Linked DNA regions of Ovis aries. The protein of the gene in region 4 interacts with the protein of the main gene of each other region in a pairwise test. Links are inferred from orthologs where the notes say so. Each region holds a gene or a part of one and is shown on either strand. Other genes may lie near its edges. The genes, in order: ARID5A, MEOX1, CBY2 and CKS1B.

Evidence for each region.
Region 1: the proteins of CKS1B (region 4) and ARID5A interact in binary tests that used the Homo sapiens proteins (3 or more experiments, as listed by UniProt). The two-hybrid records come from large-scale screens. The link is inferred for Ovis aries from reciprocal best matches to the Homo sapiens genes CKS1B and ARID5A.
Region 2: the proteins of CKS1B (region 4) and MEOX1 interact in binary tests that used the Homo sapiens proteins (3 or more experiments, as listed by UniProt). The two-hybrid records come from large-scale screens. The link is inferred for Ovis aries from reciprocal best matches to the Homo sapiens genes CKS1B and MEOX1.
Region 3: the proteins of CKS1B (region 4) and CBY2 interact in binary tests that used the Homo sapiens proteins (3 or more experiments, as listed by UniProt). The two-hybrid records come from large-scale screens. The link is inferred for Ovis aries from reciprocal best matches to the Homo sapiens genes CKS1B and CBY2.

The regions. Positions count from the first base shown.
Region 1 is NC_056056.1:103,915,214-103,918,387, forward strand, and holds the end of ARID5A (AT-rich interactive domain-containing protein 5A), read right to left. Parts: intron 3,100-3,174; coding exon 3,002-3,099; intron 2,934-3,001; exon of another isoform or gene 2,867-2,933; intron 2,594-2,866; coding exon 2,434-2,593; intron 2,092-2,433; coding exon 874-2,091; 3' UTR 520-873; downstream 1-519. UniProt on the Homo sapiens protein: DNA-binding protein that may regulate transcription and act as a repressor by binding to AT-rich stretches in the promoter region of target genes.
Region 2 is NC_056064.1:43,309,067-43,313,090, reverse strand, and holds the start of MEOX1 (homeobox protein MOX-1), read left to right. Parts: upstream 1-1,202; 5' UTR 1,203-1,603; coding exon 1,604-2,072; intron 2,073-4,024. UniProt on the Homo sapiens protein: Mesodermal transcription factor that plays a key role in somitogenesis and is specifically required for sclerotome development. Required for maintenance of the sclerotome polarity and formation of the cranio-cervical joints.
Region 3 is NC_056063.1:16,145,906-16,150,010, forward strand, and holds the start of CBY2 (protein chibby homolog 2), read left to right. Parts: upstream 1-1,287; coding exon 1,288-1,341; intron 1,342-4,105.
Region 4 is NC_056054.1:105,196,837-105,200,837, forward strand, and holds the start of CKS1B (cyclin-dependent kinases regulatory subunit 1), read left to right. Parts: upstream 1-1,194; 5' UTR 1,195-1,286; coding exon 1,287-1,345; intron 1,346-3,871; coding exon 3,872-3,999; intron 4,000-4,001.

The DNA.
Region 1 (3,174 bases), on a different chromosome or scaffold from region 4:
AGGCTAGTAGAAGGGCTCGCCAAGAAGACTCGGCAGCAGCCCCCAAGTCGGCATCCAGCACCAGGGCAAGCGACGCCAGCGTCCTGCTTGCACCCTCAGCCCCAGGAGCACTGCCGACAGCTGCAGGGCACCCACGTGGTTTAGCTCAGGGTGCTGGATCACGCCCAGTGCACAGCTCTGCTCCCCCACGTACCCACGGGGGAACGGGGCAAGTCCCAGCCTCTCTGAGCCTCAGACTCCGATCTGCACCATGAGGAAGGTAACAGCTGGCTGTCCCCAGACTCAACCAGCCCAGTGGGCTGAAGGCACAGGACGAAGGGCACAGCGTGCAGAAGTATGAGCGGGAGGCTGGGTTTGCCCTGGCCCTGCTCGTTAGTCCAGTGACAGCGTCCCAGGCAGGAGTGGGTGCTGGGCAGGTCCCTCTCCTTGGCTCCCCATCACCCTATGGGTGGCGCTGCCCATGAGAACACCCCCGCCTCACTGCTCCTGCAAAGGTCCACACCACACACACCTCAGGGCTGCGTGGATTCACTGGTGTTTTATTGGATTTTCCACAGGCAGCATGGACAGCCCCGTGGCCCTTCACCCGCCCCGATCCCTGCTCTGGGGCCCGGGCTGGGGGCTGTCCACCTCTCGATGTCTTCTCCTGAGGCATGCCATCACTGGGCCCCAGCCCCTGGGCTCAGGCTGCCATCTTGAGAGAGAAACCCAGTCTGCCCAGAGCCTTCTGGGCCAGGCTTCCCAGCCGGGGGCCCATCCCTGTCAGGCACAGGCGAGCTCTCCTGAGGGGCTCCGAGCCAGAGCTCCCGGCAGTGCCCACCCACCCCAGGCTGAGGCCAGACCCTGACTGCGCACAGCACAGCAGGCCCAGACCTACAGCTTGGTGTTGAGGTGGAAAGAGAAGTGGGGTGCCGTGTAGGCCGTGGCAGGAGGCACGTGCCATGGAGACGAGGCCGGGCAGAGTCTGTGGCACAGGGCACCATCAAAGGATGCCGGTGGGAGGTGCATCAGGCCAGCGGTCATGGGCGAGGGCGCTGTGGCGGCCAGCAGGTGGGCTGGGAAGGCAGGGATGACCAGGGGGCTGAAGGGGAGGGTGGCCTGGCCCTTTAAGGGGCCCAGGGTGCCAGCGAGGTTCAGTGGACAGTGCAGCATGGTACCCCTGTAGGCCTCCGGGAGGGCGGGGCCCAGCAGGCAGGAGACGGCCAAGTCAGGGCCCCCGGGCTTGGTCCCACACTCCTGGGCATTCGCCTCCTTCAGAAAGGGAGACACTGCCCGCAGTTTTTTGCCACCGTGGACCGAGCCCTCTTCCGCCAGGCTGCGCTTGTGGCCCAGGCCTGGGCTGCTCGGGAAGGTTGGCAGGGGCATGGGGCTCTCAGCAGGGACCTTGGTCATGGGGGACACCCAGCAGGCTTTGGGTTTGGGGTAGAGGCTGCCCTTTCTGGAGCTGCCCTTGTGGAATGCAGAAGGGCGGCCGGCATCCCCACCCCACACCAGCGGGGGCTCTTTGGCTGGCAGCCCCTCCTCCTTGGCAGGGGGCCCCAACAACACCCTATCTTTAAGACTGGGGAAAAGGTCCCTGGGACGCTGGCTGACAGGCTTCAGCACTTCGCTGGGGTAGGCGTGGAAGCAGCCGGTGACAACGGGGGCCGACGGGCGAGGGCCTGCCTGTGTCTCCCGCCAGAGGCCGCCCCCGGGGGCCTGCCTTCCTTCCAGGGGTGTCAGCCGGTCCCTGGAGTCCTCGGCCGGCCCTCCTGGGCTCTGGGGACTCTCCACGGGCGGGGCAGCTGGGGGTCCCTGGGGCTCCCCACCTGCCCCGTGGCGACAGCCCTCCTCCTGACACTGCAAGGCCTCTGCCTTGCTCACCTGGGCCAGGAGCTTCTTTTTGGCCAGCGGTGACATGATACCATGTGTCCCTCTGCAGTAGAAGCTAGACAGGAGCCGTTTGTAGGCCTCAGGGCAGCCACTGGCACCCAAAAAGGGCAGAGAGGGCCCCACGGCTGGGCCTCGCTGCTCCATGCCATCCCTGGGTGTCTCCTGGCTAGGAAGCCTTGCCAGGTCAGGGGCATCTGCTTTGGTCTTTGCTGGCATCAGCTAGAATGAGAAAAGGCCAAGCCTCAGGGGACAGGAGGGAGCCAGCTCTTCCAGCACGTTCGTGTAAAACTGTCAAAAGGCGTCCCATCCGCTGAACAGACACAGCTTGGTGTCAGGACATGGGGCCTGGTGAAATGGGGTGCAGACTAGGACTCAGACCCCACGTGCACTCCCAACTTGAGGGCCCTCAAGTAATGAACCACTCCATGACCCTTGCCCCCCCGCCCCGGTGCTGCCCTTGGGGGAGAGAGGTGTTCTGGGGGTTCCAGGCAGGGAGCTCTGCAGCCACAGTGAGCTGGTAGGGGGCGCTTTGAGAGGTATGGCACGGGGCTTGGAGCTCACCTGGTCCACCCGCTTCTCCTCCTTGACCTTCTTTGGTCTCTCAGTGGCCCCATCATCCCCCCGAGGCTCCTTGGCCATCTTGTACTGCTTCCTGGGCTTGGAGGGGGGCAGGGGCTTGTCATCCTCCCCCTTCAGGTGCCGCACGTATGGGAGGACCAGCCTGGGGAGGAGCCGGGCATGTCGCCAGGGGGCCAGGCTAGCAGGAGGCTCCCACCCTTCTAGGCCCACCCCGGCTTCCCCCCGGCCCAGACCGCCAACACCCCTGCCCGACCAGCACACAGACACCCCCCAGCTGTGGGGGCTGCCGCCCGCCCCCAGCCCACCGCCCATCAGAGTTGCCGGGGGGCAGCCCAGGGGCCCGCACCTCTTGTAGTGGCGGCCCCCACCCCACCGCCCATCAGAGTTGCCGGGGGGGCAGCCCAGGGCCCCGCACCTCTCGTAGTGGCGGCCCCCACCCCACCGCCCGTCGGAGTTGCCGGGGGGCAGCCCAGGGCCCCGCACCTCTCGTAGTGGCGGCCCCCACCCCACCGCCCGTCGGAGTTGCCGGGGGGCAGCCCAGGGCCCGCACCTCTCGTAGTGGCGGCGCGTGCATGTGGCCGCACTGGTGCTGCCCGGGCTGCCTCCCAGCTCATCGTACACGTTCTTCCAGAGGCGGCGGCCAGTCACCTGCAAGGGTGCCACGTCAGGGTATAGCTGGTGGGCGCCCCCTGCCCACAGGGTCCTTGCAGCTCGGGGTCCCCA
Region 2 (4,024 bases), on a different chromosome or scaffold from region 4:
TGAGTTGCCATTTCCTTCTCCAGGGGATCTTCCCAACCCAGGGATTGAACTCTGGTCTCCTGCATGCATTGCAGGCGGATCCTTTACCCTCTGAGCCACGAGGGAAGCTCTTAGACAATGAGACTGTTTGTCAAAGAGAACTCTTTGGGGACTTCCCTGGTGGTCCAGTGGCTAAGACTCCACGCTCCCAATGCAGGGAGCCCGGGGTTCATTCCTTGGTCAAGGAACTAGATACTATGTGCTGCAATAAAAATCGAAGATCCCCCATGCCGCAGCTAAGATTTGGTGCAGCCAAGTAAATAAATATTTTTAAAAAGAGAGAGAGAGAATTCTTTGGGAAACGAGAAGCTCCTGATTCCAATTTCCATGCACAGACTCCATGGAAAACTTGGCCTCTGGGGGTGGGGAAGACAAAGCAGGTGGGCGAAGGTTACAGGGCCAGAGAGCAGGTGGGGGAAGCCAGGAGAAACTTCAAGGAACCTACCTAAGTGTCTTTCCTTTGCCTTGGGGAAAAATGACTTGAAACCCCACTAGACAAGAGTGTGGCTAATTGGCATGTAAGTTGGGGGTTAAAGAGCGGAAGGAAGAATCTGATTGTTTTTTTAAGTTACTGAGAAAGTGAGAATGTCACTGTGGGCTGAGAGAAATAATTTTTTTTTCTGGAGTGTGTCTCTCTTTCTACTACAGACCGTAGTGGGCCACTGAGACTTGCAAAAAAAGATTGCTTTTAATCCACCTTCCTTTTTGCAAGCAGCAGTAGAAGGGCCTTTAAATCAAATGCAATCAGCAAACTTGTCTCTTGCACTTATTCCCCGCTTCACTCCCTGGAATTTGGCACTTGATGGTTTCTGGATCTGACTTAAGTCTTTTTTCAAATCCAAGACTTGGGGAATTTTGTTAACAGTGCAATAAAATAACTTCATAGTGTTATAGGAGGCACATTAAAGAAAGTGTGTGTGTGCTGCTCTCTTTCCTTAAAAAAAAATACAGACAATGTTTCTTTAAAAGACTCCATCTGCAAATCCCATTAGATGTGCATATAAGGTTTCTGATGATTAATAGTTGCCTGCTCGGGTTTTGGTTGGAGGGGATCGTGTGTGTGCTGGTTAACCCCTCCCTCTCCTCTCTCACATTTCACTTCAGAAATTTGTCACTCTCTCCCCACCGCAGGATTTAAAAGTGTGTCTCAGCAGCCCTGGACCAGCTCTTTGCAGGCATTTGCTGCGGGCTCCAGGACAAGCCCTCGTCAGCCGGTGCGTCTGGGCTGGGACAGTGAAAATGTTTAGTGTCATCGGCGACAAATACACGTATAGGGGACCCCACTAGGCAGGCTGGTGGGTCAGGGGGAACAGGAAGCCAGGAGCCAAATCCAACATAGGTGCGGGCACACATATGTGTGGCCACCCACACGTGTGCGTACTCTGAGGAGCAACTTTCATTTTGGTTTTTGTTTTGGTTCCTGGGGCGAATTTTCTATCGAACACTTTTGCCCTCCTGTTCATTAAAAAAAAAAAAATTTTTTTTGGTTGCATTTTTAACAATTTGAATATAAAAAGTGTAAGAATCCAACCTTTGAAAGGATTGAGGCGGGCAGCAGACGCAGATGGATCCAGCGGCCAGCAGCTGCATGAGGGGTCCCCACCCCCCGGCCCCTGTCTGGGGCTGCCTTCGAAACCCCCACTTGGAAGGCACTGGAGCCTCAGGGCTCCCCCACTACCCGCCAACCCCATTCTCCTTCCACCAGAAACCAGACTTCCCAGCGACAGCGACAACTACATACCCCAACTTCTCAGCTTCATGCCTGGCAGCCACCCCACACAGCCTGCCCCAGGAGGAGCGAGGCTTTACTGAGCAGCACCCTGCCTTCCCACAACCCCCCGATTGGCACTTCCCTGTGTCAGAGGCCCGGCGTAGGCTCAACCCAGGCCCCGTGGGGGGTTCCAAGGAGATAGGGGCCAACAGCCCAGGCCTGGTGGACACGACGGGAGGCCCAGGCGAGGACTATGAGGTCCTTGGGAGCACTGCCAATGAGACGGAGAAGAAGTCAACCAGACGGAAAAAGGAGAATTCAGGTAGGTGGCTGAGGAACAGATGACTGTTCCTTTACTGTGTGACTTTGAGGAAGTTGCTTGCCCTCTCTGAGCCTAGGTAGCCTGATGTGAATGGGGGATAATATAATCTAACCTCCCCAAAGGCCGGAGACTTAAACCAGTTACCTTTGGGGGTATTTCTGCTCAGAATTCTAGGATTCTCTGGTGATGGGGGCTATGTCTGTGTCCTCACCTCTCCTGGGTTCCGAGAAGGATGTGCTGGAAAGAGAATGAAACAGGATCCACAAAGATTGGAGGGCAGGTGGGATGGAGCCTCTGGGTACAGGTTGGCAAAGGCTGGAGGGAGCTTTTCTGAACTGGACTGTGTCTGGGTCACAGTTCTCCCCAGTATGCCCCAGCCTGTTCCAAATGGCCCCGAGAGCCCCAGGGCTTACTCCCCAGGAGAGTTAGTTTACTCCCCAAGGCTCAGAGGGCTAGGACCAAGGCTGGGACCCTGGGCAATCAAACAGAACCAGGACTCTGTGTCTCTGGAAGTCTAGAGGCAGCAAAGCAGACATAGGGCAGGGATGCGAGAGGCAAATGCTAGGGTTTGGGGCAGACTGACCGTGAGGAATGCACTGCCCTGCTGGGCTGTGTGTACAGGCCGAGGGGCAGCACAACCTGCTAAGGTCTGGGTGATCTCCCAAAGGCCACTCCTCAGAGGAGCCCTTCTGAGGAGTCACTGATTTGGGGGAGAGTCAGAGAGGCAAGCAGCAGAGGGTAAGCCCTGGTGGAGTATCAGAGGCCAGAGGATGGAGCTGACCTGCTTGTTCAGACCCCATTAATGTCCATCTGCTCCTGGTGGTGGGGACTGTTGTTTCCTCATCTCCCCACGGGATCTCCCAACTTTTCTCACCACCCATTCACCTTTTGTCTCATTCCCCGTCTCTATCTCGACCAGAACAAGACAGTGCCCTTGCTTCCTGCACCCACTGCCCGACTATGTCCTCCTAACGACTGCCCTCAGGGTACATCTATCTGTCTGAACCTACAGAAGAGTTTTCATGGGGCTAATGAGGAGCAGGCAGCAAATGAGAAGACCAACCAAAGAGAACACTCTCTGCTTTAGTTTACAAAGTGCTTTCAAAGTAGCCCAGATTTCCTGAGCATCTTTGTTTGCTGAGTTTTGGCAGAGGCCCTGGGGCTGCAGGGATGAATAAGGTGTTCTCACTCCTAAACAGCTCAAACTGAGAGGGAGGGGAGGCCAGCAGAAGCCACTGGCAGTGGATATGCTATGACTGAGGGGGTTCAAGGTGCTGTAAGAAACATATGATAGTTCTGAGTCACACAGGTTCAAGTTTGGTCTATCAGGTCTTATCAGTGCCTCGATTCTTTACATGTGGAAAAGAAGAGACTGAAAAGCTTGAGAGGAGTTCTGCTAACATGGAGTTAACAGAGAGTGACTCACTCATCCGAATGTACCCAGCACTTTCCTGGTTTTAGCACTGAAAGTCCAGTGTCCCCAGGACAGTTGGTCACCCTAGAAGAAAGCTCAAACCTCAGACTTCAGACCCCAAATCCCACACCCTTCAGTAGATCTCAAACGCAATTCTCATTTTGAAATATCTGGTCTCCATGCTTGAAGAAGTCCCTCAGTGTGCTCACAGTGGATGATAAAAACCACAGTCCCTGGTGGTCCAGTGGTTAAGACCCTGTGCTTCCCCTGCAGGGGGCAAGGGTTCAATACCTGGTCAGGGAACTAAGATTCCAGGTGCCATGCTTCAAGACCAATAAATAAAATAATAATTTCTTTGAGTTAAAAGCAAAGCAAAACAAAACATAGCCCTCTTGGATGCTATGAACAGAAGGGCTCTTTAAATTCTCACCCGGTTAAACCCTGAACTGTTCCTAGGCCTGGCTGGAAATTTGCTGAGAATGGGACACTTTCTGCTTCTCCTCTCCAAGGAACTCTCAGCTCCTTGGCTCTGTGCCTA
Region 3 (4,105 bases), on a different chromosome or scaffold from region 4:
ACCTCTGGAATGTTCTGAGTGTTTTGGTGACCAACTTCTGCACAGGACCTATACCTGGCACCTAACGTTGGTATGGCTTTTTCCTTGAGCTAGAAATAGTAATCTTAGGAAAGCTAGTAGCTAAAGACTTTCAGAAGGCTTTGTCATCAACTATATAGACCTGTCTTAATTTCTGTTCAGAGATTGATGAAGCATCTTATCAGATACCATCTTCACATTCTCGTAAGGTACATAATTAACAGGAGGGGAGAAGTGAATAGTAGGAAGTCCTGTTTTGCAGTTGAGCAGCTGAGGCTCAGACGATGGGCTGGAAAACAGAAATCTGCCTATTTTCTCTTTTCCACAGCACTCGAGGCCAAATTTTACAAGAAAAAGAGATACCAGATCTGAAAGCCTAGAAATTCCCATCAATGTGGTTCTACCTCAGGTAGGGATGAACACTGAAGGCTGTAACCTCTCAGTTTTGGCCAGAATAATCCCCCTCTTTCCAAGCTCTAGCAAGATACTGCAGGTCAGTGGTAGCCAGGGCCTCAGATTCTAGCTGAAGGTCAGCTGCCAGCCAGCTGTGTGCCAGGGGCAGTCCACTTAGTCACTTGGAGTCTTGGGTTTCCGGTCAGATGAGAGGGTGGGTTCATTGATCTGGTAAGACCATCCAGCCCGACCACTAGAAGTTTCTGTGACAATCTTTTCAAAATTAGAGCGTTTGGAGCTTCTTTACCACCAGGGGGCACTAGTGGTAAAGAAACCGCCTGCCAATGCAAAAGACGCAAGAGACCCGGGTTCGATCCCTGGGTGGGGAAGATCCCCTGGAGGAGGAAATGGCAACCCACTCCAGAATTCTTGCCTGGAGAATCCCACGGACAGAGGAGCCTAACGGGCTACAGTCCAGAGGGTTGCAGAGTCGGACACGACTGAAGCGACTTAGCACACACCCACATTGTGCACTACTCTGGACTTCTGGGTAGAGGATTAGAACTGAGACTTGGGATCAAGGGCACAGGCCCGAACCCATACACCTGGGACATGGACCGAGGGGTCTGGGCTCCTGTGGAGGGGTCAGGAGAATTAGGGCCTGCCGTGTACCAGGGACAGAGCGTAAGGGGGATGAGCCTGGGGGGGTCAGAATGGAGGCCAGCGCACGGGCGACAGGCTGGACATTCTCAGTTCTCCTTCTGCTAAGCAGCCGTTTCCCGGGAGGGGTCCTCCTGATTGGATTGTTTCTGCTGCTATGTCACAAAGGGGGCAGCCTTGCTTCTCCAGAGTCACCTAAGGCCCTGGGGGAAGATCATGGCGGTGCAACCAGAGGGGCTGAAATGTAGGGTGGAGGAATCCAACGCAGAGGTAACGATCTGAAAGCTCTGTCCAGGGATGTGTGGGGAGAGGGTTGACTCCCCAGTGGGGTCTTGGAGGCATGAAATTAGAGTTCAACCTGCTGCCTGTGCCACACACGGGCAGATGAGCGTCCAGGGTACTCTGGAGGCGCACAAGTCCTGAGTCAGGCTCCAGACCCCTGCCAGGATGGGCTGGGCACACTCTGGGGGAAGCGTGCTCAGTCGCACCCGACTCTTTGCCACCCCGTGGACTGTGGCCCCGCCAGGCTCCTCTGTCCATGGGATTCTCCAGGCAAGAGTACTGGAGTGGGTTGCCATTTCCTTCTCTCTGGGGATAAAGGGGCACCTCTGCGTTTAGATGATCTGAGCGGGCTGTGAGAGGGACCAGTGTGCCGACTGGACCTCCCCAAAGGAGAGGCTGACGGCTGGTGGCAGGGGAAGGGTTGATCTGGGTCACACGGGGAAGAAAGGAGAGTGACTGCGCACTGGATTGGTCACATCGGGGCCCTGGGCCATGCAGAGCGAGGGAGAGATTGCAAAGGACCGGGAACTGGGAACCTCAGCAAGTCCACTAGTAATGGCGGAGCTGGAGTTAGAGGCTTGAAGCCAGGTCAGTGCCCACGTCCTCTGCCACAAGCTGGGCACATGCCGCCTGCTTCTTCCCTGGCTTTTAGGACAGGGTGCCTCCCCACCCCCCATCTTAACTGCCAAGCCCCTGCACGAATCTGCCACATTCTGCTCCGTTCTGGTTCTGAGACTGAGTCCATTTGTTTTGAGAAGAAATTGCAGGAGCAGCTCTGTGTCTCCAGAAAGTGCCTCTGCACCCCCCCAGCTCCCAACCCTGCCTGAACGCTTCTCATTTGCATTGCGAATGTCTGTGATTCTCTATTTGTTATCACCCTTAGGTCTTTTCGGGTCTTATTGATTTCCAGTTTTCCTTCCTCACAGTAAATATTTGTGTTTTCTAATCTGTTTCTCTCCAGGGCATTAACTTGCCAGCCTTCCCTAGTTACTTCCTTCCCAAGTTCTCTGCACGCCGCCCCTCCACCTCCCTTGCCCCCCCCCCCCCCCTTGCCCCCCCCACCTCCCTTGCCCCCGCCCCCCCCCCATTCCTTTTCTACCTACCGGTTCTCCCCAGCACTCCCATTTTCCCAGTGAGCACTCTCTGTGAATCTCATAAAGGCACTGTTTCCTGCGAGATTGTTAATGAAGGCTCCTCACCAGGTCAGAATAGGGTCCCATCACCCCTCCAGGGCCCCGCCTTGTCCCTCTCTGTTGCCTTTTTTCAATCCCCTTTGTTTGGGTTTGTTCTTTGGAAGCTATGGAATCTGTGGCCGACAATGCCTGTAGCTCTGCCAGTTTGAAAAAGTGTTAGGAGGATTTCGGAAGATTCTGTGTTAAACAATTAGCTAAAACTACCACATACGATGAGAGAGGACATCTTTAGCCTCTTTGCTGTTAGTATTAGGATTCTATCCAAATCAATTACATTGACCTGCAAATTATCCTCTTATCTGTTAGCGTTTATTAAAACCAACATTGACTTTCTCATGGCACTTGGGAGCGGAGTTGATTTAAGCATATGCTCGTGATACTCAGCCTTGTCACCTGGTCTGAAAATTAGTGGCAGATCTGGAGAATCCTAGGGACAGAGGAGCCTGGTGGGCTGCCATCTATGGGGTTGCACAGAGTTGGACACGACTGAAGTGACTTAGCAGCAGTAGCAGCAGCAGCAGCTGCCTTTCCTTCCAGCATATTCTGGGTCTCAGCTTCCCCAGGCTTGAAACGTAACCCCAGAGGGCTGAATATTCTCTGACCATAACCCTCAGTAATGCTGGCAAAAGCAGGGCTTTAAAAACACTTGGTCAACAGACTTGGAGTCTGCTGAGGGCATTTGGACGTCTCTTCTGGTCTGTGGAAGTGCAGAGAATCTCAGTGCCTGGCAACTAAACTGGCAAGTCACTGTCCAGTTCTGTTCCCCAACGCTTCAGATGGGAGGCCAGCAACCTCAAAAGCTCCATCCCCGAAGGTCCTATTCCTTAGATACCCCTTAGCTTCAGAAAGATGCTTTGGTCTTATTACCTCCCCTCTGCCCTTAGCCCTACCCCCGTTTCTAGCCACCATCCCTCCTGTGTGGGCTCCATTTGCCACACAAAAGGCTGGTGATCTGACCGAAGCATGCAGTTGGTTATCTCATACACTTTCCTTCCAGTACCACGTGTATTTTAAAAACGGATGCTGGGGAGAAGGATGAAGAGTGAAGAGTGAAAGTGTTAGTCGCTCAGTCACGTTTGCTACTCGGCAGCCCCACGGACTGTAGCCCGCCAGGCTCCTCTGTCCATGGGATTGTCCGGGCAAGACTACTGGAGTGGGCTGCCATTCCCTTCTCCAGGGGATCTTCCGGACCCAGGGATGGAACCAGGGTCTCCTGCATTGCAGGCAGACTGAGCCACCAGGGAGGCCCAGGGCTGATGCTGAGGATGGAGCTCAGCCACAGGTGGGATTCAGGCATCTGAGCGGGAGCTCTCGGGACCCAGGGCCCTTCCTGCGTCCTTAGCACTGATGCAGCTTCTTTAGGTCACAGCCGGGAGCACTTTGCTCCCGAGAGCAGCATCTCTGGGTCACCTTCCTAACAAAGCCACGGCCACACGTCTCCCCTCCTGCTTCCTTCCTGTATCCCGTTCTTCCATGAAGAAGCCCCCCGCTTCTCCTCTCCCACCTATGAGGGCATGTCCTACATGTCAAGGAAGAAACTGTCCTTTCTTTCTTGGAAA
Region 4 (4,001 bases):
ATCTGTGAGCAAGTCTCCCTCCCACTCTCGTGCCAAACCCCAAGTCCAGCCCCCTTCAAGTAGGTCCACCCTTGGAAGGGGCTAAGGGAGAGGGAAAGGGCTGCCTCTAATCTCTTACTCCACAGAGTCAGAGATGTGAACTTTTGACCCTATCCAGTGGAGCCTAAGAGCTCAGGAAAACTGAGCCAAGGGCCCCAAAGAGAAAAGGAACGAGGAAGCGCAAGCAGGTGAAGTTTCTGGGATTGAAGACAAAGCTCCTGAGGCGATGACAAGGGTCCAACCGGGATAACGCTCCTGAAGGGGCGTGGCCCCTCAAGACGCGTGCACCAGAGACTCCCAGGAGGCGAGGCTTCTGGACGATCCGACGTGGATTAAGGAAGGGGCGAGGCTTCTAAAGGGGCGGAACCCTTAGGGAGGCGTGGCCTCACGAATTCGAATAGTTCTTTGAGTAGCAGGGTTCTGCCCTTTTGGGAGTTAGGCTTTTGATAGACAGGGGTTAACGGAGAATAGTCTCGAGAAGGCGGGGTTTCGGGGAATCGGAAGGACTAATGCAGGGGTTTGGAAGCATGTCTGGGGGTGGGACTTCCAGGAAAGCTGGACGACAGGGTAGGATTGGGGACAGTAAATGGAATATAAGTCGGGGTTCGGAGAGCCCCCTGAAGTTGGGAGGTGGGACTTCCGGGGAGGGGGTCGCAGAGGGCGGGACTTGTAAATGAAGACCGGAAGTAGGGTCCCGGGAGAGGGGTTCCGGGGTAGAGGAGTGGGTCACCTAAGAAGAAAAATGTCCCAACTCACCAGGACTTCATGGAGTCTCCGCACCGCACCGCGGGCCGATTTGGTTCCGGATCACGCCACTGTCTCCTCAGGTTGCCGCTCCAACTTTCTCCCCGGGCCCGGCCTCCCTGGAGAAACTTTATTGCACTCACTTCCGGCCTCACTAACCCCTGACCCTGTACCTCATTGTCCCTCCTTCACCCGTCCCTCTTTCCCGAATCAACCAATGGCAGTGCGCGGACGAGCACAGTAGCAGTGATAGCCAATAAAACGTCTATTTTTTACTTACGGCAATTCTTGAGCAATGTTCATTCCAATGAGGACTTGAGTAGAAGCAAACCTAAGCCAATCGGAGGCTTGAAGGTGGGGTTGTCCCGCCTTCCGGCAGAGGGACCAATAGAAAGCGCAGGCGGCGTGTTTGAAAGCGAGGCCAAAGAGGGTGGGAGCGCGTGCTGCTGGGAGTTGTTCGGAGGTTGGCGGCGCGGGGCTGAAGGTCCTCAGGCAGAGTGATCATGTCGCACAAACAAATTTACTATTCGGACAAATACGACGACGAGGAGTTCGAGTACCGGTTAGTGCCGGCGCGGGGGCAATATCAAGGTCGTGAGTTCTGACAACTGAGGGCACGAGAAGTTGGTAACGGGGACTGAAAACTGCAGAGTTGGCGCATGCGCGGGAGGTTAACGGGAATGGGTGTGCTGAGAGTGTGAGGCGCATGCGCGAAAGGTAGGGGGGCAATCAAAAAAAACCCCTAGAGTGATAGCGAATTTGGAAGGAGGCATGGGTGGTCGTGGTTAGAGTGTTCGAATGTTAGAATACTGACCACCCTCAGCTTTGCGGGTTTCTGGACCATTCTCTCACCTCAGTTGAGTAAACTGAACTTGCCTTCCTGAGACTGCTTGTATTACAGCCACACCGTAGAGCCTTCTGGGAGAAGGTGGCAAAGGCGAAGCTTGAATTTTCTTCGAGTCTTCAAAGTGAGGAGAGTTCTAAGAGAGCCTGAGTGTTGCTTATTAATCCATGGGAAAGGGGCGTGGTTGTCTGATTTGTTTTAGGAAGGGGGGCTTCGAGGAACTGGAATCGAGTAAAACTGACCAGAACCACTGAGGAAAGACTTAATATGGCCCTAATAGATTACCGTCAAATGTTTGAAGGGCATCTACTTGGGAAACAATTATGGAGTGTTTATAGGTTTCAGGTGTTCTGCTAAAGTACACGGATAAGCCATGGTCCCTGCTTTCAACAGACCTAAAAAATATGTGGAAATACTGACAGGCTTCAGAAAGAAGATGATAATTGGTATAATAGAGCTATGTACATGTAGGTTGTGGTGGGAGCACATAGGATTTACCAAACATGATAAAGAAAGGACTCCATACAGAGTTTGCATTTGATAAGCTCTTAAGTCCATAATTCTAGATTAGAAAATAAAGCAACACAAAGAATTTTACAAATGTTGGCATTCCACTAATCTGTAGTAAGCGTTAATAGTTAAAACAACTGGAAGCTTGGTTTTCGTGTGTTTCTTGAGCCTAGTGCAGGGCTCTGAGCCTTCTGGAGAACTTGGTGTATGCTGTCAAATAACCCTGCCTGCATTGTTTTTATGTCCGATCCTTGGGAAAAGATCCCCAGCCCTGGGATTTCACTGGTGGTCCAGTGGCTAAGATGGTAAACACCCAGTGCAGGAGACTTGGGTTCAATCCCTGGTCAGGGAAGTAGGTCCCACACGCTGCAACTACAATCCCGACCAAAAGAAAAAAAAACACTCCAGCCCTGTTTGAACCCAATTAACTCTTTTCCTCAGCTGTTCTCTACATCTGAACTAGGCTAACTAAAATTGTGTGCTTAAAATGTCTTTGCAGGGCTAGGGAGACATCACTAGTTTCATCCTCTGGAGGATGTAAGTCTTGGCAGTGATATTTGATTTAAGGAAAGGTTTGTTTTGTTTTGTTTTGTTTTGGTCTAAATAGTCCCTGGAAGCCAGTCTTTATGCCATTGGCTTATTAGGATGTAAGCTGTTTTCAGACATTTAAACCAGAATTGACTTACAGGTGGGGGGTGGGGGGGTGAAATCCCTTTTACTTAGCACAGAGAGAGCATTCAGTGCAGTGTCACTGAACATAATAATCAAGTCTGGGTCACCCCAATTCAAGTAGTAATTTCTTTGCTATAAAAGGAGACTTATCCTTGGTTAGGAAAGCATGGAGTCTCCCCCAAAGAAGTCTCGTGGCACATCCTTTCAGAGTTGAAAAATGTAACTTATGAGGATAGATTTTAAAAGAGAAGATTTTTCTATTTCATTCTTGGTGACAGGGGCGGGTAAAAAAGTCTTTATTTCACCAGCAGATAAATTCAGGTCATCTCAGATTTAGTAACCAAATGGATTATGAGAAAAATGTTTGCCTTCAGGTGTTTGTAAAATTGTAAATTGTAAAACTTAAAAAGTGAGGGGATTGTGGACATTTTATACATAGGCCATAGAAATTTATAAAAGTATAAATGTATAAATAGATATCTTTGTTGTTGTCTAGTCGCTAAGTCATGTCCAACTCTCTGCGACCGCATGGATTATAGCCTGCTAGGCTCCTCTGTCCATGGAATTCCCCACGAAAGAATACTGGAGTGGGTTGCCATTTCCTTCTCCATATATTTGATTTTATGTTCTGGCTCTTCCACACAGCACTGCCTGATAGGCCTTTCCTCTCTGAAATCACTTCTCTCTCTTCCTTACAACCCTGTTCAGAACCACCCCTAATTATTAACAGTCTGTGTGTGTGTTCTGGGGCTCCCATTATATTGTTTAAGAGTAATCAACTAGAGGACTGTAAGTGGCTATAATTTTGGCACTCATTCACGGGTGTTATTCATTAATATGTACTTTCTAATATACTTTCGTGAGAATTTACGTAACTTGGCCTGTAACTTGGGCTTTATTTCTAGCTGCCTTTGCACTACAATAAGATTTTATAAACTCCCTGCCATTACAAACTGGTTTCTCTTTTCTTGTCTGTCTTGGCTTTACCTGCTAGCCCCCTCATCTGATAGATTGTACCCAGTTCTGATACAAATTTCCCACCTTCCCACGTTTCTATTACAGGCATGTCATGTTGCCCAAGGACATAGCCAAGCTGGTCCCTAAAACTCATTTGATGTCTGAATCTGAATGGAGGAATCTTGGTGTTCAGCAGAGTCAGGGATGGGTCCATTATATGATCCATGAACCAGGT